5 linked regions of the Callithrix jacchus genome follow. The protein of the gene in region 2 interacts with the protein of the main gene of each other region in a biochemical or structural test. Links are inferred from orthologs where the notes say so. Each region holds a gene or a part of one and is shown on either strand. Other genes may lie near its edges. The genes, in order: PCK1, UBR5, OTUD5, PAIP2 and UBE2E1.

Region 1 (6,261 bases), on a different chromosome or scaffold from region 2:
GGACAGTTGCAGGGGAATCATACCATCCTTCCACCCCATTAATGTGAGTAATGAAAGGATCAGATGAAGGTCGGAGGTAACTCACTGACACGATGTTTTAATTGAACTAGTGTTTCTCTCCCAGAAGACTCAGAACATAAGCACCTTGAATGAATGGGTAGCATTTCAAACTCCAAATACGTTCTGTTTTCTCATTTTTGTTTTCAATCTACGTGCTCTTCCAGGGACTCAAACCTATTACAGTTTTATCAGCAAAATGGGACTTTCTGCCAGTTTGGTGGGATGAGCCTCACTGGGCGTGATGAGTGTGTCACGGAGCTGTGGTTGGGAGTCGGAATGGCTAATTCACTGATGTCAGTCAGATGCTAAGGAAGTGCCGTCAGCTACCGAGTATCATGTAGTGCTGGGTTTAGACACAATACAAACTTACGTATGGATGACAGCACCTCTAATGATGAATGCCAGTGACCTAACGGGGAAATAACTTCAAATGAAACAAAAAGCACCTCATGTCGTATTTACCCTGAAAGACCCAACTGGTTGAATAAAATCTGAATAAAGGAAGCATAGCAACGGGTGGATAATTTTGGTGGGACTTGGTGATGTGTCCATGCCCAACACAGTGAGACCAATGCCCCCCTGGGGGGTCCTCTAAGTGCCTTTGGTGGGAGGCTGCCATTCACAGTGCCCTGCATGTGCCATGGTGGCTCCTCCTATGCCCATGCCTGGGAGTTTCTCAGGGATCACCCCCACACCCCATCGGAGAGATGGGCCAAGTCTTCACCTGACCTCATCTTAGGTAGGGAGGCTCCCATGGAAGTGTGGGCTGGCTGTGGGGAGTCGGGGCCCAGCCTTTTTCTTTTGACTTTTTACCCCATTTTCTCTGAACTCCAGCAAGCAGCTTCTGTAGTTCATTAAATTGGACTGAAGTTCTGATGGCTTGCAAAGCAAATTCTTTATAACGGTTATAAAGGTTTCATTGCTTAAGCATATAATCTAGTAAAACTGCCAAGTCCCCTCCACTCCCCAAACTGTAAGACTTGCCAGGGAAGTGAACAGTGTCTAGTGGACTCCAGGAGTAACTGCACTTAGCCCAGAACTCCAGGGAAGGTTCCAGAAAGGTGGTGGTACCTCCTGGGGCGGGGGGAACGTGGTACTCCAGGGCCCAACCTGCTTATGTTCAAATCCTCACTCTGCACTTACAAGCCAGCTGGGAATAGCTACACAATCTCTGCCTCAGTTTCCCTATCTGTACAGAGGTTGTTTGTAGTAATGATGCCAAGCTCTTAGAACAGTGCTCAGCATGTGCGCATTCTGTGCTTACTCTGTGGCAAGCACTGTAGATAGAAAAATGAACAAAACAGGGAGAAATCCCTGCCCTCATGGGGTTTACATCTGGGGCGGTGGGGGCACACAGCAGAGACGCAATGCAGTGATGAGCCCCCGTTAGGTTAGGTGTTTTCAATCTTTGCCAATAAGCCACATATACACCCAAGTCAGGGTGCGTCCTTCCCATGAACTTTGACTGTGAACTTTCACATGGGGTGACTTCGTGTAGCTATGGTGTTTTGCCAACCAGCAGCTCTTGGCACACAAAATGTGTCCAGTAGGTGCCCTGACCAGCCTTGTCCTCGACTCCACCTGCCTACTAAGAAAAGGATGGTGTGTTTTTCATCAGCAGTAAAATGGGTCAAAGTTTAGTCCATTGGAAGTTGTATCAAAACTCACTATGGTTGGTTGAGGGCCCAAGGTCTGCCGGCATTCATTAACAACTATCTGTTCAATGATTATCTCCCTGGGGTGTGCTGCAGTGAGTTGGCCCAAAGCATAACTGACCCTGGCCATGATCCAGAGACCTGCTCCCTGACATCAGTGGCGAGCCTCCCTGGGTGTAGCCAAGGGGCAGGGCTGTTCTCCTCCTTGGTATTTAAAGCCGGAAGATTCTGCCACCAAGCACGGCCTTCCCACGGGGAACACAAACCCGCTGGCGGGAAGAACCCGGAAAGAAACCTGTGGATCTCCCTTTGAGATTGTCCAAAGAGAAGAAAGGTAAGTAGAGCTTTGCATTTACATTTCTAAAAATTACAAAGATGGGCTCATTTATTTCCTGAGAGCAATAATTATTTGGCAATGCTTGGCCCCGGTGAAAGGCCATCGAATGTGTTTGAAGGTGTCTGTTGTTGCTTTTGTCCAGGACACCTGCGTTTTCTATTTCAGGTGACTTTGACATTGGTGCCCCTTAGCAGCACTCTGCAGAAATGCCTCCTCAGCTGCAAAACAGCCTGGACATCGCGGCCAAAGTTGTCCAGGGCACCCTGGACAGCCTGCCCCAGGCAGTGAGGGAGTTTATCGAAAACAATGCTGAGCTGTGTCAGCCTGATCGCATCCACATCTGTGATGGCTCCGAGGAGGAGAACGCACGGCTTCTGGGCCACATGGAGGAGCAGGGCACCCTCAGGCGGCTGAAGAAGTACGACAACTGGTAAGCTTGGCCCCCGACACCTGCCCAGCCTCCCGCAGGCAGGGCTCCCCTGCATCTCCTGGGAGTTAGTGGAGAAAGGTGAATAAAGGCCTCTCGGGAGTTTCAGACTCTTGAAAAGATGAAGGCAGGCGATGGTCAGAACCATACAGACTTGAATTTTGTGACATTGGTAGAGCAGCCCAGACCTTAAATGAGGTGGTGTGCGCAAAAGCTCTGCCAACTAGATTCCTGATAAAAGCAAAAGACAGCCCCTCTCCTACAGACCAGCTACTACTTGAGTTCATGTCCACCTGGCCATGTCTTAGCTGGTCTGTGTGTTCACATCGATGCAGCATTGTCAGCCTGCTCAGCACCCTGCTATGCATGGAAAGCAGCGGTACTGAAGGAGATGGTCCATTGCCAGTGGTGCTGGGCTGAAAGGAAGCCTGTGATTTTTGCAGCTGGTTAGCTCTCACTGACCCCAGGGATGTGGCCAGGATCGAAAGCAAGACAGTTATCATCACCCGAGAGCAAAGAGACACAGTGCCCATCCCCAAAACTGGCCTCAGCCAGCTCGGCCGCTGGATGTCAGAGGAGGATTTTGAGAAAGCATTCAATGCCAGGTTCCCGGGGTGCATGAAAGGTGAGCGGAACATTTATTTGATTGCGCAAAATAGCAGAGAACCTTTTCTTATTTCATCTCTCCTAACGGTAAATCAAACCACCTAACGGAAGCTCCCACCACCTCAGATGTCTTTGAGTTCCATACATGAAATTGGCAATGTATTGAAAACGTACATCCCTGTTCTGCTTTTACAGACTGTTTTATGTGAACATGAAAACTATTTCCATGCATGTGGGTTTAAAACAGCTTGGTGGGACCCAATTGCACATTTATGAAAATTCTTTAATTTCAGCAGGCTGTTCACTTTCCAGTGGCCTCTTCTAACCCAGGGGGGCTGGTGACAAGCAGGGCGTGGTGGTGTTGGTGGAGATCGGGCAAATGGGTCTACCTTGGAAAACAATGCTGGTTGTGTTTGTAGTCCAAAGTCATTTGTCACCAGTTCCCACCCTCACACCCTGTAGGTCGCACCATGTACGTCATCCCATTCAGCATGGGGCCGCTGGGCTCGCCTCTGTCAAAGATCGGCATTGAGCTGACAGATTCGCCCTACGTGGTGGCCAGCATGCGGATCATGACACGGATGGGCACGCCTGTCCTGGAAGCACTGGGCAATGGGGAGTTTGTTAAATGCCTCCATTCTGTGGGGTGCCCTCTGCCTTTAAAAAGTAAGTGTATTATTTCAAAATCGAAAGTCAAAATAAAAAAGAAAGCTGAACACCCCACTCCACCCCACCCCACCCCCCCACTTGGGACCCCCAAGCAGGGCCCTGGAGCACTGATGTGGGAGGGGTCCTTGTTCACAGAGCCTTTGGTCAATAACTGGGCCTGCAACCCGGAGCTGACGCTCATTGCGCACCTGCCTGATCGCAGAGAGATCATTTCCTTTGGAAGTGGGTACGGCGGGAACTCACTGCTCGGGAAGAAGTGCTTTGCTCTCAGGATGGCCAGCCGGCTAGCCAAAGAGGAAGGCTGGCTGGCAGAGCACATGCTGGTGAGTCTGCAGGAAGCCCTGATGTACACATGAGAGGCTTGGGAGGTGGGCAGGGGGGTGGGTGGGTGGCAGAAACAAACGGCATCACAGTTCCCGTCCAGCAAGACCCAGCACACCTCTCTGAGCATGCAGGTTCCCGGATAGATCAGGAAACCCCACCACTAAAGATCAGTGCACCTGTATAAGTCACTTTTGAAGGGCCCCAAACACCAGGGCACTATAGAGATCCTTTGGGCTTCATGATTTTGGAAATGTTTGTTTGCACTGATACCTGAAGAAATAGAGCTTGAGGGCCTGCATTCCCACCTCTGGGAAGTACCAACCTCAAGGAGAAGCAAACAAAGATCTTAATAAAGAATCTTGTCCCCAACAGATCCTGGGTATAACCAACCCCGAGGGCAAGAAGAAGTACCTGGCGGCTGCATTTCCCAGTGCCTGCGGGAAGACCAACCTGGCCATGATGAACCCCAGCCTCCCCGGGTGGAAGGTTGAGTGCGTCGGGGACGATATCGCCTGGATGAAGTTTGACACGCAAGGTGACTCAGTTGGACCCAAGTGAATTCTTGGCCTTCAAAACATGCCACAGTCTCCTCAATCCAGTGCTTGGATTTTTAAATTTCATTAGTTCAGAGCTGGCAAAGCCTTAGTATTCTGTATTCTGTAAGAATTCTTCAATTTAATATTCAAGCTGGATTGAAACAGGGCCATATGTTGCTGTTTGTTTACGTACATAAATTTGTTTAGATGGTATTGGTGGAAAATTGTGGAGGAAGCAAGAGTTGTAAATGTCTCAAAGTTGCATATGATGCTTAGATGAAAAGAGATAAATGTATATTCTAGGGAGGGAACAAAGAGCTGGGAAGCTGGCATAGAAATTAGTCCGGCGGGATTGAAGAATCTGCCGTTCAACACTGCTTCTCTGTTCGAAACTCTCCAGGTAATTTAAGGGCTATCAACCCAGAAAATGGCTTTTTCGGTGTCGCTCCTGGGACCTCTGTGAAGACCAACCCCAATGCCATCAAGACCATCCAGAAGAACACCATCTTCACCAATGTGGCCGAGACCAGTGACGGGGGCGTTTACTGGGAAGGTATTGATGAGGAGCTAGCTCCAGGTGTCACCATCACTTCCTGGAAGAATAAGGAGTGGAGCCCACAGGATGGTGAGCCCCTACCAGAGGCCTCGGTGTGCTGGGCAGCCGGGATTGCCTGTTTGAGCCAGGCACTCATGGGCCTTTCTGTCTTATAGGGGAACCTTGTGCCCACCCCAACTCGAGGTTCTGCACCCCTGCCAGCCAGTGCCCCATCATCGATGCTGCCTGGGAGTCTCCAGAAGGGGTTCCCATTGAAGGCATCATCTTTGGAGGCCGCAGACCTGCTGGTGAGGCTCTCCTTCATTTAAGCTGGGAACACGGGTGTGCTGGGTACAGAAGGGTGTCTGTGAAATCTCTCCTTCTCCATGACCTTGTCAGAGGGTGCTCAGGGGCTTCCTTTCTTGAGCTTCCTTTCCAAAAAGCCAGAATAATTGGCAAGCTCAAATGCAGAACCAACCCTTCTGGACAACTAGAACCTTTCTGAATCCTTGATCTATCATAGCTTGATCAAATTTTACTTTTGACTTTGTGGCCTCAGTCCTGTAACTCTAAGCAGTTTTCTGCACTTTAGCTTGGTGAATGCAAAACTAGCTCGATTACAAAGTTGTTGTCTTCCTGTGTCTTTCCATGTTGTGAAATAACACCACTGCTTGTGGAGGCTGAATATCAAAGCATCTAGGAAAGTTTTCTATTTTTTTCTTGCTAAAGGTGTCCCTCTAGTCTATGAAGCTCTCAGCTGGCAACATGGAGTCTTTGTGGGGGCGGCCATGAGATCAGAGGCCACAGCAGCTGCAGAGCATAAAGGTAAATTGAAGTCCTAATTTGAAACCACAGATTAGTGGGATTAGAGCTCTCTTCATCACTCTTATATCTCTCTCCTTCTCTGTCTGTATTGGATAGAGAGAGAGAGGAGAACAAAGCATGCTGGTGTCGAGTATAAACGGGGTCCATCTGTCTCGCCTAGGAGAGCATCATTTACCAACGGACCCTCCCTCTCTGTTTTACAGGCAAAATCATCATGCACGACCCCTTTGCCATGCGGCCCTTCTTTGGCTATAACTTTGGTAAATATCTGGCTCACTGGCTTAGCA
Region 2 (5,723 bases):
TTTTATATAGTAAAATTATTTTAATAATTTGTGACTTACTGGATATTAGGAAATTGGACACAAACTTGTCTTTACATAAGGATTGAGAGTAAAGATAGTCTTTGTTAACAGCAAAGATATTCTTTTTTTTTTTTTAATGACAGAGTCTCACTCTGTCACCCAGGTTAGAATGCAGTGGCGTGATCTTGGCTCACTGCAACCTCCACCTCCTGGATCCAAGTGATTGTCCTGCCTCAGCCTCCTGAGTAGCTGGGATTACAGGTGTGCATCACCACACCTGGCTGATTTTTGTATTTTTAGTAGAGTTGGGGTTTCACCATTTGGTTAGGCTGGTCTTGAACTCCTGACCTCATGATCTGCCTCCCAAAGCTGTTGGGATTACAAGTGTGAGCCATCACACCCAGCCAAGATACTCTTTTTTTTTTTTTTTGAGACGGAGTTTCGCTCTTGTTACCCAGGCTGGAGTGCAATGGCGCGATCTCGGCTCACCGCAACCTCCGCCCCCTGGGTTCAGGCAATTCTCCTGCCTCAGCCTCCTGAGTAGCTGGGATTACAGGCACGCACCACCGTGCCCAGCTAATTTTTTTGTAATTTTTAGTAGAGACGGGGTTTCACCATGTTGACCAGGATGGTCTCGATCTCTTGACCTCGTGATCCACCCACCTTGGCCTCCCAAAGTGCTGGGATTACAGGCTTGCAACGCTGCGCCCGGCCCCAAGATACTCTTAATGTTAGAAAAATTTAGTAGTTATGAGCAATGCATTTGAAAGAGGATACTACCTATTTATGAAGTAAATTTTATCATGGCCACAATATATAAAAATTTAACTCTCCTCCCTGTCTCCAGTATAATTTTTAAAGTTCTAATTTGAGTGTTCTGTATATGTTCAGTAATAAACTTTGGGACCTGTGGATATGATTTTCGACAGCAAATTGTCACATGAAGATTTTCAAAACTGCTTGGTATATGATTTAGAATTTTTTATAGTTAGGAATCTTTGCATTTTAGTTAACTAGTTTCTTTGGGGGAACACTGGTAGAGATACAGGTTTATTATGTACTTTGATTGTCTACAAATAAGATTCTGGATTTAGGTTGAGGTGGTGGAGGGTGTGGCCGGAGAAGAGGATCATCATGATGAACAGGAAGAACATGGGGAAGAAAATGCCGAGGCAGAGGGACAGCACGATGAGCATGATGAAGACGGTAGGCAGGTTGTTTGAGAAGTTACTCTGTATGAGTACATCAGGTACTTTGAAAACAGAGAAACCTCTTTTGAATGTATAGTGAAATGGCCCACTTAGTTTCTGCCAAGCGTTTCTGTAGCATCTGTTAAAAAATTTTAGGAGCTATATAAATACATATATAAAATGGTTTCCCTTTTTCCTTTTGTTTAAGTCACTTTCTTAAAAGACTTTTTTAAAACAATCGTGGTCGCATTATGAAACATTTGGAAATAAGAGAAAAGGAAAATAAATCACCCTTAATTACACCTAGGTGCAATGATTTGTGTATTTACTTTCAGTTTTCCCCTGCACTGCCCTGTTGTGATAGTCTGTTGACTACCATAATTTCCCTAGTCATTCTTCGAAGGTTGAGTAGTTACTTATTTTTATTCTCTCTCACACCATTCCCCTTCTCCCCAACTCCCACCTCCATGCCGTCTTAGTTCCCACCCTTAGGATATTCTGGCATAACAGACCCTGTTTTAAATTATGGTAGCTTGTGCTTTTTTCTTATTTAAATATATTTTTTAGGGAGTGATATGGAGCTGGACTTGTTAGCAGCAGCTGAAACAGAAAGTGATAGTGAAAGTAACCATAGCAACCAAGATAATGCTAGTGGGCGCAGAAGTGTTGTCACTGCAGCCACCGCTGGTTCAGAAGCAGGTATGTCACCTTATCCCGACAACTTTCTCATGTTAAGGCTGTGTGAGTATTCAGCACGGACTGGTTCATACTTTGTGTGGTATATACAAGGGTAGCTAAGCATTTTTATAACTTCATCCTTGTTCTCTGGATATTAGTAAAGAAAGTATTATTTTAATAATTCTTACCCCAGCTTTTCTGGCTATTAAATGATGAATGGATTTTCAAGGTCATTTAAAGGATTTTGATTTCTTTTCTTTTTGTTTTTTTGAATTGGGTCTCACTCTGTCACTTAGGCTAGATATTCCAGTGGTGCAGTCAGAGCTCTTTGCAGCCTTGAACTCCTCCTGAGTTCCTACCTCAGCCTCCTGAGTAGTTGGCACTATAGGTGCAAGCCACCACATCGGACTAATTTTTTTTTTAAAGAGATGTGATCTTGCTGTGTTGCCCAGGGTGGTCTTGAGCTCCTGAGCTCCGGTAGTCTTCCTGCCTCAGCCTCCTCAGTTGTTGGGATTATAGGCATGTGCCACCACACTCAGCCAAAAGTTATTTTCTAATAAAAACTATTTTAGTGGTGAGTTTTGTGGATTATTGAATACAATCTGGCATTCTGTTTAATATGTATGTTTTCTTGAATGAGGGGGGTACATTGTAATTCTAATTAACAAAAACAATGTTTTTGGTTTTAAAAATAAAAATTTTAGGAGCAAGCAGTGTTCCTGCCTTCTTTTCTGAAGATGATTCTCAGTCAAATGACTCAAGTGATTCTGATAGCAGTAGTAGTCAGAGTGATGACATAGAACAGGAGACCTTTATGCTCGATGAACCATTAGAAAGAACCACAAATAGCTCCCATGCCAATGGTGCTGCCCAAGCTCCCCGTTCAATGCAGTGGGCTGTCCGCAACACCCAGCATCAGCGAGCAGCGAGTACAGCCCCTTCCAGTACATCTACACCAGCAGGCAAGTCTGAAACCTTGGTATTCCTAAGAATACTTAAATACATTTTTTAAATTATGCATGCTCATCTAGGGAACAAATTAGTTTTATGATAGCTCCTCACTGTTTTATTGAGTTTCAAATATAAAAATGAGGCGCATATGATAATAGCAGGGTTTCCCAGTCTTTGCATTATTGCAACTTTGGGCTGGATAACTGTGGGAGGCTCTCTTGTGCATTGTGGGATGTTAAGCGGCATTCTTAGCCTATACCCACTAGATGCCAGTGAAACCCATCTCAGCCTTCTTCCTCTCCCCTTGGCTCCCACAGTTGTGATAACCAAAAATGTCTGCAGTTACTGCCAAATGTATCCCTTTTGGCAGGGTAGGGTGGTGGTGTGGGGATCAGATTTCCCCTGGTTGAGAACTTTATATTAATTCTTATCCTCTCATTACCCCTCTCCCCAAAATAGTGTCATTTAGGCAAAGTTTTTGACTCTGCTACCACAGTTGACCATTTAGATTTACATAAGTATGTACAATGCCAGAGAAGTACAATTAGCACTTGACATTAGCTCACTGTGATTGTCCTTTTTTCCTTATAGCAAGTTCAGCGGGTTTGATTTATATTGATCCTTCAAACTTACGCCGGAGTGGTACCATCAGTACAAGTGCTGCAGCTGCAGCAGCTGCTTTGGAGGCTAGCAACGCCAGCAGCTACCTAACATCTGCAAGCAGTTTAGCCAGGGCTTACAGCATTGTCATTAGACAAATCTCGGACTTGATGGGCCTTATTCCTAAGTATAATCACCTAGTATACTCTCAGATTCCAGCAGCTGTGAAACTGACTTACCAAGATGCAGTGAACTTACAGGTATGAACCCACTGTGAAGTTTCTCATTCCAATATATTTTTTTGGCTGTCAATTCTGAGAATTCCAGTATTAGGGGAATTAAATGTTAAACATTTAAATGTTGACATACTGCTGCTATATCGAATTTAGTTCTATTTGGATAGTTTTAACTATTTTAGTTTGGTCTTCATAGAACTATGTAGAAGAAAAGCTTATTCCCACTTGGAACTGGATGGTCAGTATTATGGATTCTACTGAAGCTCAATTACGTTATGGTTCTGCATTAGCATCTGCTGGTGATCCTGGGCACCCAAATCATCCTCTTCACGCTTCTCAGAATTCAGCGAGAAGAGAGAGGATGACTGCGCGAGAAGAAGCTAGCTTACGAACGCTTGAAGGCAGACGGTATGAAATTCTTCGTATATATGGAATGTCCCCAACTTAAAATGGATCCCCACCTTACAATCTTTTTTGACTTTATAATGGGGTTTTTGGGAGTATTAAATACATTTAGACTTATGACAAGTTTATCAGGACGTAACCACATCTTCACTCGAGGAGTACCTATACTTACATATTTAGATAGAACCTTTATATCCTGGAAGGTTAAAGCTTTTTAATTGCTATTATCTAAGATCTCATCTTACTGTGAGAAAGAAATGACTTGCTTGCATTACTTAAATTGTTGAAGCATAATAGGCTGGTTATCATGCAAGCTATTTTTTCCCCCCAAGAAGAGTTTCACTCTTGTCCCACAGGCTGGAGTGCATTGGCGCGATCTCGGCTCACTGCAACCTCTGCCTCCTGGGTTCAAGCAATTCTCTTGCCTCAGCCTCCCAAGTAGCTGGGACTACAGGCGTGTGCCACCATGCCTGGCTAGTTTTTGTATTTTCAGTAGAGATGAGGTTTCACCATGTTGACCAGGCTAGTCTCAAACTCCTGACCTCAGGTGATCCACCCGTCTCGGCCTAGGTGTGAGTCATCATGCCTGGCTCTCCAAGCTATTTTTAAGAATCCATTTACATCATAGGAATCTGTTACTAAAGACTTCATTTATGAAGTTGTTGGTCTATGTCTTTGTCTTATCTCCAAGACTTCCCCCCACCTTAGAAAGTTAATTTGACTATGATTGGATGTAGATGTACTTTGTACTTCCCCCACCTTAGAAAGTTAATTTGATTATGATTGGATGTAGATGTACTTTGTACTGAGGAGGAGGAAAGTGTGTGTGATTACCAGTGCTGCTCTTTTGTTTCTCAATTCACATTTCTTTTTTTCTGCCTCCCCATCTTGTTGAGTTATAATTAAAATATATATCTGTGTATTTGTTATGTTCTTTTTATTCAGTTATAAAGTGATCATTTTCAGGAGTAGGTATCAGCGCAAACACTGAACATCAGAGCAACAACAGTAGTATAGTAAAAGTGCTTCATACCTACAGTCAAAATCCAAGGATTTGGTTCTAGCTCTGCCTCAGGATAAATACTTTTGTTAATTCTGGGTGGATCATACAGTGAGGAAAGAAAAGGGTCTAGGACATTACTTGGAAAATAAGACAGTGATAGGCATCTCCGGCAGAGGTGGTAGTTACTAAAGTAGGGCGGTGATGACCAGAAGGAGGAGTGATAAGCACTGAAATCATCAACAGAATTTAGGGCCTTATTGAAGGATTAGGAGGGGGCATCGTTTATATTTAGACTTTGATTCTGAATAACTAATAGGAAAATTAAAGAAAAACCTAGGGTAGCGTAATGGACAAACTTGCTTTTGAACATGTGAGAACTGGGCAAAAAAAATTGGTAGAAATGTCAAGTATGCAGAATTGAGTGCTTGGCAAAGGTAACTGTACTAGAGATAGAGATTTGAGAGCAGCTCAAGTAGAGATTTTAGCAGCTTTCCTGTCCTAGAAAGCCTGCTCCACGAAGAGACAAAAGCCTTATCTTGGTTAGGCTGTAGTTCTTACCCCAGAGAACACAGAATTCTGGTGACAGGTCTTGGTTGGTGGCAGTGTTCTCGCTCCTCTCTCTCGGTCAGCTTTAATGTAATGATTCACATATTACATACA
Region 3 (6,274 bases), on a different chromosome or scaffold from region 2:
CTTGTCAAAAGCAGTTCAGAACTTATTACATGACCTAGAGGTGAGAAGCAAGCATAACTGGGTCAGGGAGAGACTCAGAATCACTTCTGGTTTCAGAGGGGAGGCTCCACACTCCATGTCTTGAGGACGGGACAATCTTCTCACAGAAAGTAGGAGGACCCTCTTGGCCCTGGCCACAAGGGGGTTCAGAATATGGGGTTCATATGACCCTGAAGAGCATCCAGGTCCATCTGTCCAATGGGAGAGGATGACCTTACATTTCTCTCCCTGGACAGAAAGGATTGCCTAGTGTGGTAGGAGGAGAGCCTCATGCCCAAGTGGGAGCCAGGCCCCTGTCCCTAAGGCAAAGGATCTCTTGTCCCAGAGCAAAAGCTCGGCCCCAGACTCTTTTCCTCAGAATCCTACCCTATTCATATCCCCAAGGGGAGTTGGAATCTGAGGCCCAAAGTCCCCGAGGGAGGAAATCTTATGTCCCTAAATGACCCCTATGACTGGGGTGTCTGTACGTTGTCTGAGGTGAGGTGACAGTACCCTCAGGGCAGTTTTAGAAATCAGCTCCTAAGGAGAGGAACAGGCCTTCGCACACCTGAGGTAGGATTCAAACCCTGGGGGTAGACTCAGGACCCTGTTCCACAGGGATCCTTTATCCATGCCCCAAGGAAAGGGTCTCAGGGGTCAGGTCTGGGGGAGGAGTCCTCCTGTTTCTCAGGGGTACATCTCAAGTTTCTTGAGAAGGAAGCTCAGACCTTACCTCTAGAAACAGAAGTCACCAGGGTATGTACGAATCTCCTGTCCCTGAAGGAAAACTCAAGAGTCCTTGGTAGAGTGGCTCTCAGGCCCTTAAAGGTAGGCAGAGATCCATAGGGAGGCCCCAGACATCATCTCTGGGATTCTATGTTGCCCATGTCCCCTGAGTAGTCGTCTCAGGCTCAAGTTCTCAAGACATGGGTCGTGTGTCTCTGACAAGAAGCTTAGGCCCAAGGGGGAAGGGCCTCAAACTACTGTCACAGAGAGAAGATGGGATATTGTATCCCCAAGGTATGTTTCAGTCCCTTATAACTGAGGTAAAAGGGTCACATATCCTTGTGGAGTGGGGAGTCTGAGACCCCCAAAACCACTCAGATACCAGTCTCAAGAAGGGTCTCCTAAAGACTTCACCTCTGCAGCGGGGCACCAGGCCCCTGAAGAGGCCTCAGACTCAGTCCCTAAAAACCTCAGTCCAGGGCCAGATGCAGTGGCTCACGCCTGTAATCCCAGCACTTTGGGAGGCTGAGGCGGGTGGATCACCTGAGGTCAGGAATTCGTGACCAGCCTGACCAATATGGTGAAACCCTGTCTCAAAAAAAAAAAAAAAAAAAACACCTCAGTCTGTAAGAAGGTAGATCTTAGGCCCTAGGATCCAACCCTCTGAGTCTCATTCTCCTGAAGAAGCTTCAGGCCCTTGGTGGGAGGTGGGGGCTTTGAGGGCCCATCTCTTCTTACAGGGAGCTTAATATTCTGAAGAGAGGTTCTGGCCCTTGTCTCCAAAGAGGTAGGTTGCAGGCCACTGATAGAAAATGAAGACCTTTGTCACTCAGAAAGAGGATGAGTCTCATGTACTCAAGTAAAGCTGCCGGTCCTTGGGTGTTGGTTTTGGCCCCTGACCCCAAGGGCAAGGGAATCATCTTCCTGCAAAAAGTTTTATATCTCTGGAAAAAGCTTAGAAGACCCCTCTCCTTAAAGAGGGCGTTATGTGTTTATCAGGACCTTGATTCTAGAAGAGGAATTCTCAGGCCCCTGAAGACAGAGTTAGGACCCTTGAGGTCTCAGGTCTGGCTATTCAGTGGTCCTGTGTTCTATTACCCAGCAAAGCGGAGACGGTTGTCCTATATGCAGAGTGTCTCAGACTCTTGAAGGGGCTTAGGTTCCTTGGGGATGTTCATACCCCATCTCTGGGGTCTCTACTTTATTTGATTTCCCTAGAGGGCTAATCTCAAACTTCTATCCCAGAGAAAAAGAGCTCTTAAGCCACTGAACACAGACCTAGGTCTCTTGGGAAACCTGAGACTCCTGTTCAAGAGGGGCTCGATCCTACCTGTGTCTCTTGGAGAATTCCCACCTATTGGCCCTACAAGATGAGGTCCCAGGAACTGGAATGACGACTACAGACCCTAAAAGAGGCCTCGGATCTCTACGAGGTCCTCTTTGGAAGTCTGCCACTTCACCGTAGGCCTCTAGCCCCAAATCCCTAGACGGGGGGAAAGAAGGTGTCTCACACCTCTACCACGAGAGAAGACTGTCAGGCCCAGTGAAAAGGCCTAGATCCCTTGGGGAGATCTCAAACAGCCTTCGGGTACCTTCACAGTGTGGGGGTCCCATCTACCGTAGCCGCCCACCCATCACCCCACAGCTCTTACCTGCTCGACAGTGGCAGGATCCATAGCCTCGATGCGTGCTGCAGCAGCCTCATACTCGTCCTCACTGTTGTAGCCTGCGCCGACCTCCTCACGCTCGGGACTACCCCCGCCAACTGCGCCAACCCCGGGAGCTTGACGTCGCCGCTTGCTGTGGCCAGGCCCAGAGCAGCAGCCGCCCACGCCTACGGCACCACCCACACCCACCACCACGCCCGCGGCACCCACACCCGCCGCCGCTGCGCCCAGCGCGTCACCGGGCCCGCCGCCGGGCCCACCTGGGCCCCCGCAAGGAGGTGGAGAAGCCTGTTGTGGCCGAGGGCCCGCCACTGCACCAGGCGGCACGGCCAGTGCCCAGCGGTGAAGAGCGCCCGGTGGTCCTGGTAGCGGGCCTTGAGGCGGTGGCGAAGCTCGAGGACGGGCCCCCACCACGCCGGAGTCACGGTCGCGATCGCCGCCGCCCACGCCCGTGCCGCCGCCGCCCACGCCCACACCCCCGCCGCGCCGCGGCGCCGGGGGCAGCGGCCCGGGCGGCGGCGGCTCGTTGGCAGGGTCGGCGTCGGGAGGCGGCGGCTTCTTTTTGGGGAGTATAGTCATGGCTTCACCGCCGAGTGCCCCCCAGCAAACCCGGCGCAGAGCACGCCGGGAGAGAACCCGGATGAGGGGGCTAGTGTAGTGCGCGAAGCACGACGGGAACGGCGAGACCCGGATAAAGAGATCGCGGCACCGGTCCGAGAACCCGCGGCGGCGGCGGCGGCGGCGGTGGCAGTGGCGGCGGCGACAGTGGCGGCGACGGCGCGCGGGTCACGCCGGGAGAACCCGGATGTGAAGTCCAAGATGAAGGCAGTGCGGCGAATTTGTCGTAGCCTTCTCTCCAAGTCCAGCAAGTTTATTGCTACGCTCGTTCTGGCCTTCTGCTTCAAAGGAGACAGAACCAAAACAAGCACCTCTTCACTCCGCCCCCTCGCAGGTTCTTGCACTACCGGGTGGGGCCCCGGGGCGCTGCGCACGCGTGCCAGGGCACAGCCCCGCCCCTCGCTCGAAGTACGTGGGCAAAATCGTCGCCGCTGCCACAACAATTGCTAACACCAACCAATTGAGCAGCTGCGTGGGTCCCCGACGACGCCCACGGGCCAATCAGAGGCGAGTGCTTGCCCTCCGGTGCCCTCCGTCTCAAATTTCAGTCAAAGTCGACACCCTCGTTCCCAGCCTTTCTTGCTGTCGGTCCCGTCTTGCTCTTTACTTTTCTCCCCGAAGCTCTCACTTGCAGGCGTCGTAACTGTGGACGGACAGCGTGGCCTGTTTCACCTACGAAAGGAAAAACGCCTCCCCTCCAGGCTTCCAACTTGAACGCTGTCAGCCGGACTGACAGGAAAACATCAACAGTCCAGAGCACAGCATTCCTCTCGAGCGTCACTTCCGATATTACCCCCCTGCAAATACCCTTCCGGGGGAGGTGGACACCGCTTCACCCCAGCAACAGCTTAAGTTCTGCGGTGATTGGTTAAGAGACGCCGTCACTCCCGTCATACCGACCAACCTTGGGACCGACAGGCACCGTGGGGACAGTGGTTGTTTGGGAAACAGACACGCCTTCTCTGGCGACACAGCACTCTCGCCCTCGCGGTGACCTCCCCGCCCCTATGGCTAGTGCGCAGGAGCGGCCCAGCCTTTTTATTTTTAATTGTTTCCTAATTGAGACGAGGGTCTCACTCTGTCGCCCAGGCTGGAATGCAGTGGCGCGATCATAGCTCACTGTAGACTCCAACTCCCAGGTTCAAGCGATTCTCCCGCCTCAGCCTCCCGAATAGCTGGGACCACAGGTGCACACCACCACGCCCGGCTAATTTATTTTTTCACTTTTTTTGTAGGGACAAAGTCTCGCTACGTTGCCAGGCTGATCTACAGCTCCTGGGCTCAAAGGATCCTCCCGCCTCAGCTTCCCAGAGTGCTGGGATTACAGGCATGAGTCACCGTGCCTGGCCAAGCCTAGCCTTTTTCTAAAACTAAGTTTGCCTGGGTCGATCGAGGTTTATGAACCACCTCTGTCACCAGTCAGCGTCTCGCAATGGGGTTGGCAAAAATCCCTGCTATTGAGTGGCTGGAGAGCTACACACTAATCCTAGCTCTGCCCTTCTTGTCTGAGTGATCTTTGGCAAGTCATTTAGCATCCACTCCGTCCTCAATTGTTGTTGTTTACTTTTTTTTTTTTTTGAGTCGGAGTCTTTCTCTGTCGCCAGGCTGGAGTGCAGTGGTGCGATCTCCGCTCACTGCAACCTCCGCCTCCCGGGTTCAAGGGATCCCCCTGCCTCAGCCTCCCGAGTAGCTTAGACTACAGGTGCACACCACCACACCTGACTAATTTTTTGTATTTTAGTAGAGACGGAGTTTCACCATGTTGGCCAGAATGGTCTCGATCTCCTGACCTCCTGATCCGCCTGCCTTGGCCTCCCAAAGTGCTGGGATTACAGGCGTGAGCCACCGCACCGGCCTGTTGTTTACTTTTTTAATGGAACGCTTCACAAATTCGCGTGTCATCCTTTCAAATGGTGCCATGCTAATCTTCTCTATCGTTCTAATTTTAGTATATGTGCTGGGAAGCGAGCACCCATCCTCAATTTCCACTCTATAATAAATTGGCAATGATAATTCCAATCTGAGGATCAGAGATTAATGCTTGTAAAGGGCCTGGTGCTGTGCCCACCACATAGAACGTGTTTAATAAAGTAGTCTGCATGGTGGTACAGTGGAAGGACCCCAGGCTTTGGAGCCAGAAAGATCTCAGTTCCGGGCACAGATGGACCATCACCAACTAAGACCTTGAGGAACTCATTGTGTTGCTTTTGGGATTACCCATATTTAAAACGGGAATGATAATGCCTGCCCATACTATCTCAGGGAATGGTTATGGGGTTCAGATGAGCTGATGAACCAAGAAGGTATTAAGAGTTCACTTCCAGTCTTAGGAGACAAACCATACAACAGGTCGACTGAAAGAGACCATGGGAAAGCTGTTTTGAATAGGGCTTTGATTCCCTTCAGATATTAACCCTAGTTGAAGTTCTTCCCTGAAAGGCATTAAGTAATAAATGGGCTCTAGTAGTGTTTTCTGCTCATGAGACTTAATGGGAGGAGGGGACTTTCATGTTTACCGAGCCTGTTGTGTTCAGGGCTCTGTGCCAAATACCTATGCACATTATCATATTGAATCTTCTCATGATCATCTCACTCCAGCCCCATATATTCTACTCATTACACATCTAAAACTGAACTCATGATAGTAATCATGGCTACCTTTCACCAAGTACTTACTATGTACCTAGCACTGAGTGCTAAAAGCTTTGATGTTCCCTTTACCAGGGAATAGTACTCCCATCCAGCCACTGCTCAAGCCATAACCTGGGGGTCAACCTTGACTGCTCCCTCTTCCTCAATTCCCACATGCCTGTTAATCCCAAATCCTGCCAATTCTACCTCCCAAATCTCTAGATTCTCCAATTCTACTGCCACTACTCTGGTCCAAGCCACTGTCACCTACCACCTGGACTACTATGAAAGCCTCCTCCCTACTTTTCTTCCTTCCAGGACTGTTTATATCCACTCTTCACAAACAGAATGATCCTTCTGAAACAAACTTCATTATGACTTTTCTGTTTAAGAGCCTTTAGAGGTCCCCACTGTCCTTAGGATGAAGTTCAAAATTTGCGTCATAGCTTCCAAAGCCTTTTGTTATCTGGCCTACCTCTCCATCCTTCCTCTCCTCACAGCCTCGCACTCTCCTCCCTAGCTGGACTGAACTACTTTCAGTTCCCTGAAGGCCTGAGCTCACTCTCTAACCTCCAGGTCATTGCACATGCTGTTCTCTCTGTCTAGAACATTGC
Region 4 (6,284 bases), on a different chromosome or scaffold from region 2:
TTTCAATTGGTCTGTTTTCTACTCTGAAGTCTGTGAAAAGCACCGATTTTTTTTTTTTACTATTTGACGCAATAATGTCATGATTAAAAAACGTGGGCTCTGGAACCAGGCTGCTTTACTAGCTGTGTGACCACGGCAAGTTATTTAACCTCTCTGAGTCACGGTTTCCTCATCTGTACAAGGTACATTATTAATAGTACCTTGGGGGCTGGGCACGGTGGCTCAAGCCTGTAATCCCAGCACTTTGGGAGGCCGAGGCGGGTGGATCATGAGGTCAAGAGATCGAGACTATCCTGGTCAACATGGTGAAACCCCGTCTCTACTAAAAACACAAAAAAAAATTAGCTGGGCATGGTGGTGCATGCCTGTAGTCCCAGCTACTTGGGAGGCTGAGGCAGGAGAACTGTTTGAACTCAGGAAGTGGAGGTTGCGGTGAGCCGAGATCGTGCCATTGCACTCCAGCCTGGGTAATAAGAGCAAAACTCCGTCTCAAAAAAAAAAAACAGTACCTTGGTAGAGAAACTGGAGCATAATAATTAGCATTATCTATCTGGTGATTAAACATTTAGGGCAGTTAAAGGTCTCCAGACCAAGGGACAAGGTAAAAATAACAGATCTTAAATCTTCAGAGCTGAAACAATGTCACAAGAAAATCCCAAAGTCTATCCTAATCTCAACTGTAGTGTAACAAGGGCAACTAGGTGAGAGCAAGGATGGGTCATCCTTACTTATGGTAGCCATTGGATACATAGAGCTATTTAAATTAATATTTAGTTCTTTATTTACACTAGCCACATCTCAAGTGTTCATAACCAAACAGTACCTACATTATTGGACAGCTCCACTCTAACCAATGAAAAAAAAAAAACAACGAAGAAAAAGGGGAACTGAACCACAACCTACACTGAATACAAACTGTTCATGTACCTGTGCAACAGGTGGTCTAGATCACAAAGGCAATGACTTGAACAACTTTAATCTTAGACCACAGTCAGAAGACTTCGGTTCAAATCACAGCTATGCTACTCGACCACCTTAAAGTACCCTAGACCTGTCACTAAATCACACAGCACTGTATAATGGTTAAGAGCACACAATCTCTGGTCTATCTGGATTTGAATTCCGGCTATCACTAGCTATGTGACGTTGGGCAAGTTACTTCACATCTCTCATGTGTTCTCTTTGTTTTATAGTAGGGCCTACCTCCTAGTCATGTTGTGGATCAAATTAGTTAGTATTTGCTTGTTTCTTTTTTCCCCCTGCAAACTACACAAAGAATATTTGTAAAAAGCAATTAGAACAATGCCTGGCATCACTAAAATGTTATATAAATATCTGCTACATAAAAATAATGTCTCAAGCTTCTATTTTCTTAAGTCCTAGTGGGCAAGATAAAACTTGCTCTGCCTATTTCACATGTTGTCATGATAATGAATGACGACAGGATGTAAATTACAAGAAAATTTTTTTTTGTTTGTTTGTTTTGTTTTTGAGACGGAGTTTCGCTGTTGTCACCCAGACTGGAGTGCAATGGCGCGATCTCGGCTCACTGCAACCTCCACCTTCTGGGTTCAAGCAATTCTCTTGCCTCAGCCTCCCGAGTGGCTGGGACTACAGGTACGCACCACCATGCCCAGCTAATTTTTGTATTTTTAGTAGAGACGGGGTTTCACCTTGTTGACCAGGATGGTCTCGATCTCTTGACCTCGTGATCCACCATGCCCTGCCGTAAGAAAATGTTTTAAAAGCACAAACGGTTATTAGACTACAAGGAGGCAGAGGTCTTACCGTCCAACTTCTTTAATCTCCCACAATATCAACCAAATTGCTGTGCTAAGTGTTCATTTAATAAATTTAAATTTTTTCACTAAAACTGGAGCATCACACTCTACTCATAAAGGGATAAACCTGACTAAGGTACAGAGTGCTTATTATTTAAGGAAAAGCCTGCTATAAACTCATTCTGACCCAAAGACAGTAGAAACTACCTCAATTTGAGTTCCAAGGAGCAACATGCACAGCCTTGAATCATCATAGGAAATCTCCATTCCCTAACCTCCATCTCTTAAAGAAACACAAATGGGCTCTACAGCTAGTCAAGTTACCTATCCTGTGATACTTTTTTGTGAGAAAGTTTTCTTCAAGTTCACAATTGACAGGTAGTATAAACAGTATAATTTCCCCCAAATATCCTGTCTTTCACCAACTGGAAACAGAATCACAAAAACAAATGGTGAAGTCTCATTAAAAATTCTCATAAAGAACTTTTACTTATTGCAAACCTAATCTACGCTTTTGAAATTTCCAAAAGCGACACCAACACCTGATCTAACTGCTCAAATGAAATCTGTCAAAAAACAGAGCCACCACGTTCCAACATTAGCCAGCACACCCAAAAAGAGCCTCTGCTTTCTGTTGAAATGAACGTCAAAGGCTGTCAGCTGCTACACCTTCCAAGGCAAACTGGAAGCCAAATTCTTTTTAAGAGTTTGATATGGGTGCCAAACCAGAGAAAAGAGAAACAAAAGGAAGCAGATAAGACCACTTTTAGGATTCACTAAAAAATATCACTGCTGGCTGCTGCAACAAATGTTTTGCAGACCTAAGCTCACCAAAAGCCTTATTTATTTTTGGTGGCGGTGGTGGGGGAAGGAAGAGAGTAAGCACAGAAAATTATCAAAAGGTAAGAGAATCTTAAAGTTCATCTAACTCAACACCCTCCTAAGGTAAGGGTTCCAGTACCCCAAAGGTTCTCTTTCCCGGATCATGAGCTACAATACAACCAAAAATAAGGGGTAGGGATGGCGAAGAAACGGGAGAAAGGCGATCTTCTGATAAGGCCTGTCGACGGTTGCAGCGTTTCCCCCAGCTCGCCAACATCCCGCCAGTCCCTCCGCCCCTCTCCCCCCAAACCCCAGCCTCGGCTGAGGCGCGCAAGCGCAGCAAGTAGGGGCTGCGCGTGGCGACGCGCAGGCGTAAAGTGGGTAGAAACAATGAGCTTTGTTACCGAGGCGGTGGTGGGGGGCAGGGGAAAGGGTACCAGGCGGAGGGAGAAAGGACCAGAGGAATGGGGCACAGGAGAAAGTGCTATCCCGGCAACCCTCGCGCCACCGAGGACCCGGATAGAGAGCTGCGAGATCCAAATCATAAATAATGACAATGAAAAAAAAAGCTACGGCCATGTCTCAGAGAAGAGGGAGAGGAAATCTGCCCAAGCCCATCCCTCAGACTTAGTGCAAAGAGACAACGAACAACGGAGGCCGCAAGGGACTCGGCGGCCAACCACCAAGGAAACCCTTTAGGCCCCTCTGCCGTCGCTAAGGTGCTGTCCCTTGACCGCCGCACCCTTGTCGCCACTCCGCCCGAGGGGATCCCTCACCCTGTGCACAGCAGCGGGGATGGCAGCCAATGAATCCTGTCGGCCTCCGCGGATCTCCACAGGCAGCGCCGCTCCCCGCTCGACGTGCGCTTAGCCCGCCGCCTCCCTTCTCCAGTCCAAACAAACACCCCAGCGCGGAAGTGACTTCACTTCCGTCGCCGCCAGCCCCGCCCTCTTGTTCTGTCAGCTCTGCCCTCCGAAGCCACTAGAGGGCGCGCGCGAGAACGCGCGACCCCGAAGACTTAGTCTCCAAGGCTGCACACAAGTGCACGCGCAACGGCCTTTCCAGCGCGCCCCTGAGGACGGCTTCGGAGTGTACCAGGAACGCTGTCGAGCGTTCTCTCTGGGAGGTAGGAGTCGGAGCGCGCCACTATCCCTACATCCGCCCCTCTTTCGAGAATGATTGGATGCAATGAGGGAGGGAGCTGGGAACTGAGGAGCACCCTGACAATATACACACACAGGTGTGAACACTTAGACGTCTCACACACACCCTAAAAAGTAACATGTCGATAACGACATAACACAGACACCCGTACCCCAAGAATGATACACAATGTCACATTAACAGCTACATGCACCGAGTCACATCAAGATCCTGACACAGAAACATAATAAACTAAGGAAAATCGCAGAGGCATACTAAATGATATGCAAGTCCCCGCAGGCACAAAAACACACTTTTTGAAGCTGGACGCAAACGCAAAATACAAATGCATGGTTCCCAGACAACCTGTGCAAGCTTCTTGGTGGCTAAAGGAGGAAATACCCTGTCCAGACAGGATAGAAGGGTGTGACTTCCGGGTTCATGAATTTCCTAGTCCACGATCCTGGGTGCACTGGCCCGTTATTCTTACCTATGCTTCCTTCTTGTCATCGTTGACAAGCCTCAAGATATATTTCTAGGCCGGGCGCGGAGGCTCAAGCCTGTAATCCCAGCACTTTGGGAGGCCGAGGCGGGTGGATCACGAGGTCAAGAGATCGAGATCATCCTGGTCAACAAGGTGAAATCCCGTCTCTACTAAAAATATAAAAATTAGCTGTGCATGGTGGTGCACGCCTGTAGTTTCAGCTACTCGGGAGGATGAGGCAGGAAAATTGCTTGAACCCAGGAGGCGGAGGTTGCAGTGAGCCGAGATCGTGCCAGTGCACTCCAGTCGGGGTAACAACAGCGAGACTCCGTCTCAAAAAAAAGTCAGTCAACATAGCTAATAGAGTTGATAGTTATTAAGAAAGTAGCTGGGATCTAATTGCTCTGTGATGTTTTAAATTTTCCTATTATGTAGGAAAACAAACTCTCCCATTTAAATCTCAAAAGCCAAATAGCCAGTGAGAAGCTGCTACTTCTGATTTAACCACCCTGTCAAAGTTAAGCAAACTGAAATTGGTCCTGTTTTTGACAGGCACGGGCAAGGAGTGAAACTTGAAAAGCATTTTGTCCTAATCAAAGGTAGGATTGCTGCTGCTGTTTGTGTATACCCTTTTGGATCAGGTCCTTATAAGAAATTCCTCATAAATGTTGCAATATATGAAGCATGATATCATTGTTCATAGAAAGGTTATTAATCCTGTACCTAATACCAGGTGCTTTCAACCCAAGTATACAAATCCTGCTGAAGTCAGATGTTTATTGACTCGTCTATCACACTCAACAGACTACCCCTTCCTTAAAAGCATCTACTCTTTTCACTCATCTTTTTTCTTTTTGAGACAGAGTCTTGCTCTGTTGCCAGGCTGGAGTGCAGTGGTGCAACCTTGGCTTACTGCAACCTCTGCCTCCTGGGTTCAAACGATTCTCCTGCCTCAGCCTTCCGAGTAGCTGGGACCACAGGCGCATGCCACCACACCTGGCTAATTTTTGTATTTTTAGTAGAGACGGGGTTTCAACATGTTGGCCAGGATGGTCTCGATCTTTTGACCTCGTGATCCGCCTGCCTCGGCCTCCCAAAGTGCTGGAATCCCACTGGCTGGTGTGAGCCACTGCGCCTGGCCTCTTTTCACCAATTTTCATATCCCCTACCATATATTTGACTTTACAAAGTTCTTAAATGGTATGAAAATTACAACTTTCTAAGGCTATAATTGACAATTCAACGAGGCCAGGAGTGGTGGCCTACCAATGTTATCCCAGCACTTTGGGAAACCATGGTGGGTGGATTATTGGAGTCCAGGTTTGAGACTAGTATGGGCAATATGGCAAAACTTCTCTACAAAAAAAAAAAAAACAAAAAAAAAAAACAACCCACAAAAATTAGCTGGGTGTGATGCCATGCACCTGTAGTCCCCTTTACTCTAGAGGGTGAGATGGAGGGATCACCTGAGCCTGGCGGGGTGGAGGCTGCAGTGAGCCCTGATTGCACCACGGCACTTCAACCTGGGTGACAGAGTGAGACCCTGTCTCAAAAACAAAAAACAAGAAAACTTCAAAGTCAGGACAGGGCCGAAAACTCTAAGATAAATCCTTTAAAATTAATATAATTGGGCTGGGTGAGGTGGCTCACACCTATAATCCCAGCACTTTGGGAGGCCGAGGCAGATGGATCACCTGAGGTCGGGAGTTCAAGACCAACCTGGCCAACATGGTGAAACCCTGCCTCTACCAAAAAAAAATTAGCTGGGTGTGGTAGCAGGTGCCTGTAATCTCAGCTGCTCAGGAGGCTGAGGAAAATCGCTTGAACCTGGCAGGCGGAGGTTGCAGTGAGCCGACATAGTGCCATTGCACTCCAGCCTGGGAAACAAAAGTGAAACCCCATCTTGAAAAAAATAATTATCTTCAAAATTATGTTACTTCCTGGCTGTACTCAATCATTTTTTCAACTAACCTCCATAGGGAATTATTGTGACAAAAATTTTCTCGAGTTTTAGACTATCACTGAATTACTAGTGGTTTAACTGAGCTCCATCA
Region 5 (6,441 bases), on a different chromosome or scaffold from region 2:
GTATTCCTGCTCTTTATAGATGAGGAAACTGACGCTCGGGGAGGTTAATTTAGCTCTTTAGGCCTTATAGTTAATAAAAAGGAGAGCTAGAAAGTTGTATATGAATTCTTTTTCCTAAGATGCTATATACAGGCTTTAAAAATAATTTGGCATAAAGATTAGTCTTGAGAGTACTGGATTCTTTTCTAAACATTTTGAAGTTTTTATTCCCTCTAATTAGGTCATGCCAAAACCATAACACATTACCCCAAGCTAGTGGATATTAGAGATTAGAGGGAAAGGTACACAAAAGAGGGCAAGAAGCCTTCTAGACAGGTGGTTGGGAAATTACTTTTCCTTATAGCAGGACCTGTTAGATTTCATGATTTCTTTCGTCAGTAACACAACACAAAATATCAAGTTCTATTTTAAAAGAATTATTATTATAGCTAGTGTTCAATTTATGCAAACCAATATTAAAGAAAAAATTCGTCTACTGTCCTGATCACTCCAGCAAATCAAACCTTTTATTTTCCTGTGATCTCTGCTAGTTCTCATCTTTATACACATGATTTTTTTTTTACTGATTGTATTTATAATGTAGACATATATTTTTAAGTATCAGAAATCCATAATTTTCATAAGAGGACACTTCAATTTTAATAACTATTTTTAGACTATTTTCCTCATTCTGATTTTATTTCATCTGCTTATTGTTTTCTCCTGAATTCACATCTTTTCATCAGAACAAAAAGAATACAACCTGGTTTTCAGAAGTTTAAAAAAAATTTTCAAATATACGTCAGAGAATGTCATCATTTTTATATACTCTACCAGGGACTCCTGAAACCAAACACTTAAGAAAGGTTATGTCTGGAGAATTTTTCAAAATCTATATGCATTTCAATGGTGGAGAAATAGTTGTCTGGAATCAGGAGGCTGAAATTATGACCCAGAAGATTTCTTCCAACTTTTGAACTTCTATGACAACTCCTGGTAGAGACAGGTTTCCTGGTAGGGATTGAGCAAGAAGCATGCACAATTACATTATGAGTCTTGATAAAGCTGGAGTTTCAGGTTGATGGTTAGGAGTTCGGCTGGGTCGTGGGATGCTTGTTTTCCTGGTTACTGGATATGCCATGGGCTTTATATCTTGGGTTGTCCTGTGGTAACTGAAGCCACTGTTGCGGTGGAAAATGATGGCAGTTTGAATGAGATAATTTAGAGTGACCTGTGGAAATCTGAGGCTGTGTCCTTAACGTACAAGACCTTGTATATGTGGCACTGTTGTATGGCACATATCTCTTTAGTTCCCTTCAACTGAAATGACAAATAGGTGAGAAACTAAATCGTAATTTGATGGCCTAATATTAAAAAAAATTAATTGGACAAAAATGCTACATAAGGAACAATTCAGAAGAATTGCTGATTATTTCAAAACTATTATCTGAATAGTATTTATATGTAGCTAAAGAAAGCACTGCGATCCCAGAACTTTCCATCCAATTTCCAAAAACCAAACCTTATATATAATGTAAAATGACACCCAAAATTCTAAATCCAGTCTAATTCAGTAGTATATAGCTTATTCCCAGTGATTTCTCACATTTGCAAGCCCGTTGCACGTTGGTTTCATGTGTCACCAAAACCTTTGTATTACTCTTATAAAACCACATCACTTTGTATAAAAAGTGACTGGAAGAATTTAATATTGTAAAACTGCACGTGCCTCGCGTGACCTGAGCAGAAAACTCCTGGTTTGGGATTTTCTCACAGGCGTGCCTAAACTGACCTCTACTCCTAGCAGGTAAATTGCTAGAAGAAGCAAGTGTCAGCCCAAAGAAAACCCCTGTTGTGTGCTTTTTTTTTTCTCTTTAAACTGATCGCTTTTTAGGTGGAGTTCCCGCTGCATTCTCTAGACCAAAGTCCTTGCTTGCCACCAGATTACCATCTTTTTCACCAATTTGCCACCTCCCTACCCTTCTCCTTTCCAAAAGCCCTCACTGGAAAGAACTTTCTCTCTTGACCCCCCTATTCCATCTAGTTCCAAACGCTCCCAGAGCCTCCCACCTCCGTCGGCTTCCCCTCTCCCGCCTAGAATCCAGGTTCCCAAACCACTTAAGAGGAAATTCACACCCCTCGCCCCCTTCCCGGGCGTCCGGAGGAGACGCAGGGGTGGGGGTGCGGGGGGAGCAGGGTTTTCTGGGGTCTCCTGAGTCTTTCTCGCGCACCCTCAGGAGGTGTTGCAGGGGGAGAGGAGCGCGGGTGGGTGGGACCGGGCCGGGTGGGGGAGGGGTGAGGGCGAGGAGGAGGAGGAGGCGGCGGCGGCGGAGGAGTGGTGTGTGTGCGAGCGTGTGTGGCTGGGGGAAGCCATTGCCTGTTTAATAGTTGCTGTTGCTGCACTTCCGCTTCTCTCCCAGCGAGAGAGAGACACGAGTGGCCAGGCCCAGCCGCAGCCGCAGCAGCAGCCGCCGCGGCGGCACGGAGGAGCCAGACACAAAGAGAGGTACGGGGATCCCCCCAGCGGCCCGCCGCCCCCCGGCCGCGCCGCCGGCCTCGGGGACACCCCTCGCCGCCGTCCCCGACCCGCACCGCCCCGGCCGCCGGGGCGCCGGACACGGGGCCGGGGGAGGGGTGGTGGCGGAGAGGGGCTGGGGAGCCCCAGGGGTCCCGGGCCCGCCCGCGGGGGATGGGCAGGGACCCCGGGCCGCGTGGGTTGCGGGGCCGCCCGCGTCGGGGCTGGGGGTCATTGTGGCTCGAACTGTCAGCGCTGCCCCAGGAGCCCCCCCACTGGCCGCCGAGGGGGCCGGGAGCGGGGGTGGGGGGGAGTTGGGGGAGCCCTGTTTTCCCCAGGGGCGCGGGCTCCTGGGGATTTACCCCTCCGGGGCGGAAGGGCTCATTGTTATTTCTTCGCTGCGGAGGCCGAGCCCCCCCCACCCCACGCCGCAGCCCCTATCCCCCTCCACGAGTGGCGAACGGGCGTGTGCTCCGGACCCCCGCCCGGCTGCGCAGCCCTGAGCCGGGCGGCCCAGAGGCAGGCCGCCCGGGAGGGGCGTCGGGGCGCGGCGCGGGGGGGGGGGGGCTCGGGCCTCGTCGCCCCTGCCCCCCGCCGGCCTCTCCCTTCCCCCACCCGGGCACCCGTTCCCCGCCTCCGTCCCCCTGTTTCGGCTTCCTCTCTTACTCCTTCCCGCCCCTCCTCTCTTCCCGACCTCGCCAAACTCCGTTCGTGGCCCCACAGTCTCACCCGGGCCACCGGTCCCCCACGACCCCCGGAAAGCGTACAAAAACAGCCCCGAGGCCGGCCGGCCGCCGGGACCTTCCCTCCCTGCCCCGCTGCGGCGCCCCGCGCCCCCACCCTGCCCTTCTTCGCCTCCTGGTTACTCCCTCCCTGCCCTGCGGAGAGCCCCGGGGGGTGAGGGAGGGGCTGCTCTCCGAGCTCCAGACCGTTTTCCCACCGCGTTCCCTACTTGGGGCCAAAAATAAACAAACAAGCCGCGTCCGATTTGCAAAAGCCTTAATGGGCCTGCAGACTTTGAAAAGCGAGTGGAGGGCGGTGGGCGGCCGCGTGCGCCCCTGGTCAATGCCCTCCTGACAGCACCCGAGTTCCTTATTTACACTGGCTGCATGGTTTGTGTGTTTCTGTTTTGTTTCCCTCCCCCTGCAGGGGCTGTTTGCGGGGTGGGGTGGGGGGTTCGATATGTCGGATGACGATTCGAGGGCCAGCACCAGCTCCTCCTCATCTTCATCTTCCAACCAGCAAACCGAGAAAGAAACAAACACCCCCAAGAAGAAGGAGAGTAAAGTCAGCATGAGCAAAAACTCCAAACTCCTCTCCACCAGCGCCAAGAGGTACCGTACTCTTTTTTCCACAGGCTTCCTATTTTCCGAACTGCCTCTTGCTGCATTTGGTCTGCCTCCCAACGAGGATAGCTTAAACGCTCCTCACGGTTTGTGTGTTCTTAAAAATGAAAGAAGGGCCTTGGAAACCCTAATTATTTTCTCTATTGCTGCTTCTGTTTTTTAAAATCATTGCCCACATGCAGCTGTTGCGGCTTGGCTCTCGCTTTTCTCGCCGAAGTTTGTAACAATCCTCATCTACTTTTATTAGCGAGCCCCAAATCTGATTTCAGATTCCTTGTCCCACTTAATGGTTAATCTGTGACCTTCCCCAAGGCCATCATCCTGTTTCTTAATTACTAATAACCTGCTCAGACAACTGCATCGAAATGGATTCTATGACCATTTTACCTTCTTTTCACCTGTTGCATGGATGATCTTTTTGGAATAGAGCTTTCTCCACAAATTGTAAAAGGAATAAGAAACTCATATGAGCAGGTACAAAATTTCGTAGGTGAAGACAGATATTCTCTGATGGAATTTAAAGAGATTTTTCTGAGAGTTGAGACGAATGAATCAGTAAGTGATGTAAAATGGTTATTGTAGGTTATTTTTGTGATTCTCTTTGAGAACTTCAGTTTACCAAATTTCAGGGAGACTTTTTTTTCATGCTATTTGCTGTCCTCATGCTGTAAAAATGCTACTTTGCCTTATTTTTTTCCAATTTAAGCTGTGTCTCTTTTTCTTTATTCTTTTCCTCTTACAGCTCTTGGAGGTAGCTACTTTTTACACCTGCCATTCTTCAGTAATATCCTCTGATCCCCATGACACTTAAAATAATCTTTAGTAGATTCCTAGGAACTCCGAGACACCTTTTTAGAAATCCTTCTGCTCTCAGAGTTAGACAGTTAAAAAGGTGGCAAAACGGGAACATAGTAGGGAGTCCGAATGGTGGGTTAGGTAGAGAAACCCTTAAAAATTTTTAATGTAAAGTGGAACATGAGACTTTAGATCTGTCCACTGAGTAGTGAGCCAGGAAGTCAGGGTTTGAGGGTTTGTTCTGTCATTCTGCCTGACTTGTAATTTGAAAATTTGGCAGTGTTTTGGTGACCTAACCATGGGCTGATGGAGTGACTTTTAAAAAATAGTGTGGAGGTCTTAGGTGCCTCTGCAAGATTGTTCTCATTTTTATAGGTTTGGTTTGATCGTAAATCTTCCCAGGAGGCCTAACTGACCCTCACTGATTAGCCCTGTTTGGTTCTCCTGGAACCTGGCATCCACCCTGCCCACTTGGGATGGGCCTTTTCGCAGCACTGCCCTCCACCTCAAGCCTCTAGGCTCCCTGATCCTCATTTAGCTTTTGGCCTCATGTGCTCACGCCAGGATACTTGCTTTGGGCAATTTGCATCTTTATATTTTGCTAGATATCCCTGGTGTACATGAATATATATTTGGGGGTAAAGACACAGGTATCAAATAGAAAATATTCTGCTTTTGTTATGAGTGAATTGTTTTTTTCACTAGACATACTTTGTCCATTTATTTTAAACAAGTTAAAAATTTGTTTGAAAGTGCTGGGAAAGAGATGGTAGATTTTAAAAAATGAAAGGTGGGAGGCTACAAATAGTAATTTTACATGTAAATGAACATCAAGGCTTTCGTTTTGTTTTGTTTTTGCAGCGAATTTAGCTCCCTGATACCTTGCTGAAGAGTAGTAGCCATCAGTGTTAAAGCAGACCTAAGGTTGATAGCAAAAGGTAAAAAAAACCTGAGAGGGACAGTGTATCCAGGAAAGAGAAAGGGGAAAATTGATGTTAGTGGGATCCTATAGAACCTGTTCCGTGAAATATATTGATTTGGAAGGTAGGTGTTGCCCATAAAATTGGAAGGGGCACATTTACCAGGAGAAGGAGTGAAAAAGAAGCCTGAATTGGCAGACTCACAGCCTAACTGCATGCTGGAAAGTGGTTTCTAAACCGTGGGTAGGGGAAAGCCCCCATTGAAAGTGGCCTGAACAAGAATGACTGACTCTCTGGATGTAGGTATGAGTTCCTCCTGCAGATCTCTTGCCAGGTTTTGGAAATGCACATGCTGACTGTCAAGATGAAGTTGATAAAGCTTTTTGGTATGAACACTTCTTAGGTATTAACTGCCTCTTTAGTGGATATTTTATAGTGGGAGTTGGGTGGGCAAGGAGGTCTGAAGTCAGTATGTATTTTTATATGCATTGTGCTCCGGTGAGGAAGTTTTTGCCTGTGTGTGTAGGTCTTAAAATAGTTATTCGAAAAGACGCAGGTAAAGAATCCGGAAACCAATGTTCCAAACTTTTAGTGTAATGTAGTCATGAGTCAAACAGCAGGAGTATGAATGTCTCAGAAATGAAACGATTTTTGGTAGCAGTAAATAAATACGTGTCAATTGAGACTGTGAACAAACCCCTTTCTAAAGTTGACAGATTTGTAGGGACAGGAAATGTCCTCCAGTAGGAAGGTTTGTAGAACCTCCCCCAGCCGTCGCCCTGAAAACCTATTCCTCACCGCATATAGTTAGCCTGTCCTACGCAGAAAACCTTTGGAAAGGGAAACGCATCCTTTATTAGATTGCTGTGTGTGTGTGTTTAAAATT

Evidence for each region.
Region 1: the proteins of UBR5 (region 2) and PCK1 form a complex in vitro, tested with the Homo sapiens proteins (2 studies listed by BioGRID, with this or other methods). The link is inferred for Callithrix jacchus from reciprocal best matches to the Homo sapiens genes UBR5 and PCK1.
Region 3: the proteins of UBR5 (region 2) and OTUD5 form a complex in vitro, tested with the Homo sapiens proteins (2 studies listed by BioGRID, with this or other methods). The link is inferred for Callithrix jacchus from reciprocal best matches to the Homo sapiens genes UBR5 and OTUD5.
Region 4: the proteins of UBR5 (region 2) and PAIP2 form a complex in vitro, tested with the Homo sapiens proteins (2 studies listed by BioGRID and IntAct, with this or other methods). The link is inferred for Callithrix jacchus from reciprocal best matches to the Homo sapiens genes UBR5 and PAIP2.
Region 5: the proteins of UBR5 (region 2) and UBE2E1 form a complex in vitro, tested with the Homo sapiens proteins (2 studies listed by BioGRID). The link is inferred for Callithrix jacchus from reciprocal best matches to the Homo sapiens genes UBR5 and UBE2E1.

The regions. Positions count from the first base shown.
Region 1 is NC_133506.1:53,146,688-53,152,948, forward strand, and holds the start of PCK1 (phosphoenolpyruvate carboxykinase, cytosolic [GTP]), read left to right. Parts: upstream 1-1,955; 5' UTR 1,956-2,049; intron 2,050-2,217; 5' UTR 2,218-2,258; coding exon 2,259-2,482; intron 2,483-2,922; coding exon 2,923-3,104; intron 3,105-3,547; coding exon 3,548-3,751; intron 3,752-3,889; coding exon 3,890-4,077; intron 4,078-4,450; coding exon 4,451-4,613; intron 4,614-5,014; coding exon 5,015-5,239; intron 5,240-5,325; coding exon 5,326-5,457; intron 5,458-5,878; coding exon 5,879-5,974; intron 5,975-6,177; coding exon 6,178-6,261. UniProt on the Homo sapiens protein: Cytosolic phosphoenolpyruvate carboxykinase that catalyzes the reversible decarboxylation and phosphorylation of oxaloacetate (OAA) and acts as the rate-limiting enzyme in gluconeogenesis.
Region 2 is NC_133517.1:94,652,792-94,658,514, forward strand, and holds part of UBR5 (E3 ubiquitin-protein ligase UBR5), read left to right. Parts: intron 1-1,094; coding exon 1,095-1,206; intron 1,207-1,757; coding exon 1,758-1,889; intron 1,890-2,572; coding exon 2,573-2,834; intron 2,835-3,414; coding exon 3,415-3,679; intron 3,680-3,851; coding exon 3,852-4,063; intron 4,064-5,723. UniProt on the Homo sapiens protein: E3 ubiquitin-protein ligase involved in different protein quality control pathways in the cytoplasm and nucleus. Mainly acts as a ubiquitin chain elongator that extends pre-ubiquitinated substrates.
Region 3 is NC_133524.1:49,515,462-49,521,735, forward strand, and holds the start of OTUD5 (OTU domain-containing protein 5), read right to left. Parts: upstream 3,806-6,274; 5' UTR 2,991-3,805; coding exon 2,397-2,990; intron 1-2,396. UniProt on the Homo sapiens protein: Deubiquitinating enzyme that functions as a negative regulator of the innate immune system. Has peptidase activity towards 'Lys-48'- and 'Lys-63'-linked polyubiquitin chains. Can also cleave 'Lys-11'-linked ubiquitin chains (in vitro).
Region 4 is NC_133503.1:37,729,740-37,736,023, reverse strand, and holds the start of PAIP2 (polyadenylate-binding protein-interacting protein 2), read right to left. Parts: upstream 3,506-6,284; 5' UTR 3,380-3,505; intron 1-3,379. UniProt on the Homo sapiens protein: Acts as a repressor in the regulation of translation initiation of poly(A)-containing mRNAs. Its inhibitory activity on translation is mediated via its action on PABPC1.
Region 5 is NC_133518.1:62,151,628-62,158,068, forward strand, and holds the start of UBE2E1 (ubiquitin-conjugating enzyme E2 E1), read left to right. Parts: upstream 1-2,378; 5' UTR 2,379-2,485; intron 2,486-3,643; 5' UTR 3,644-3,676; coding exon 3,677-3,828; intron 3,829-6,441. UniProt on the Homo sapiens protein: Accepts ubiquitin from the E1 complex and catalyzes its covalent attachment to other proteins. Catalyzes the covalent attachment of ISG15 to other proteins. Mediates the selective degradation of short-lived and abnormal proteins.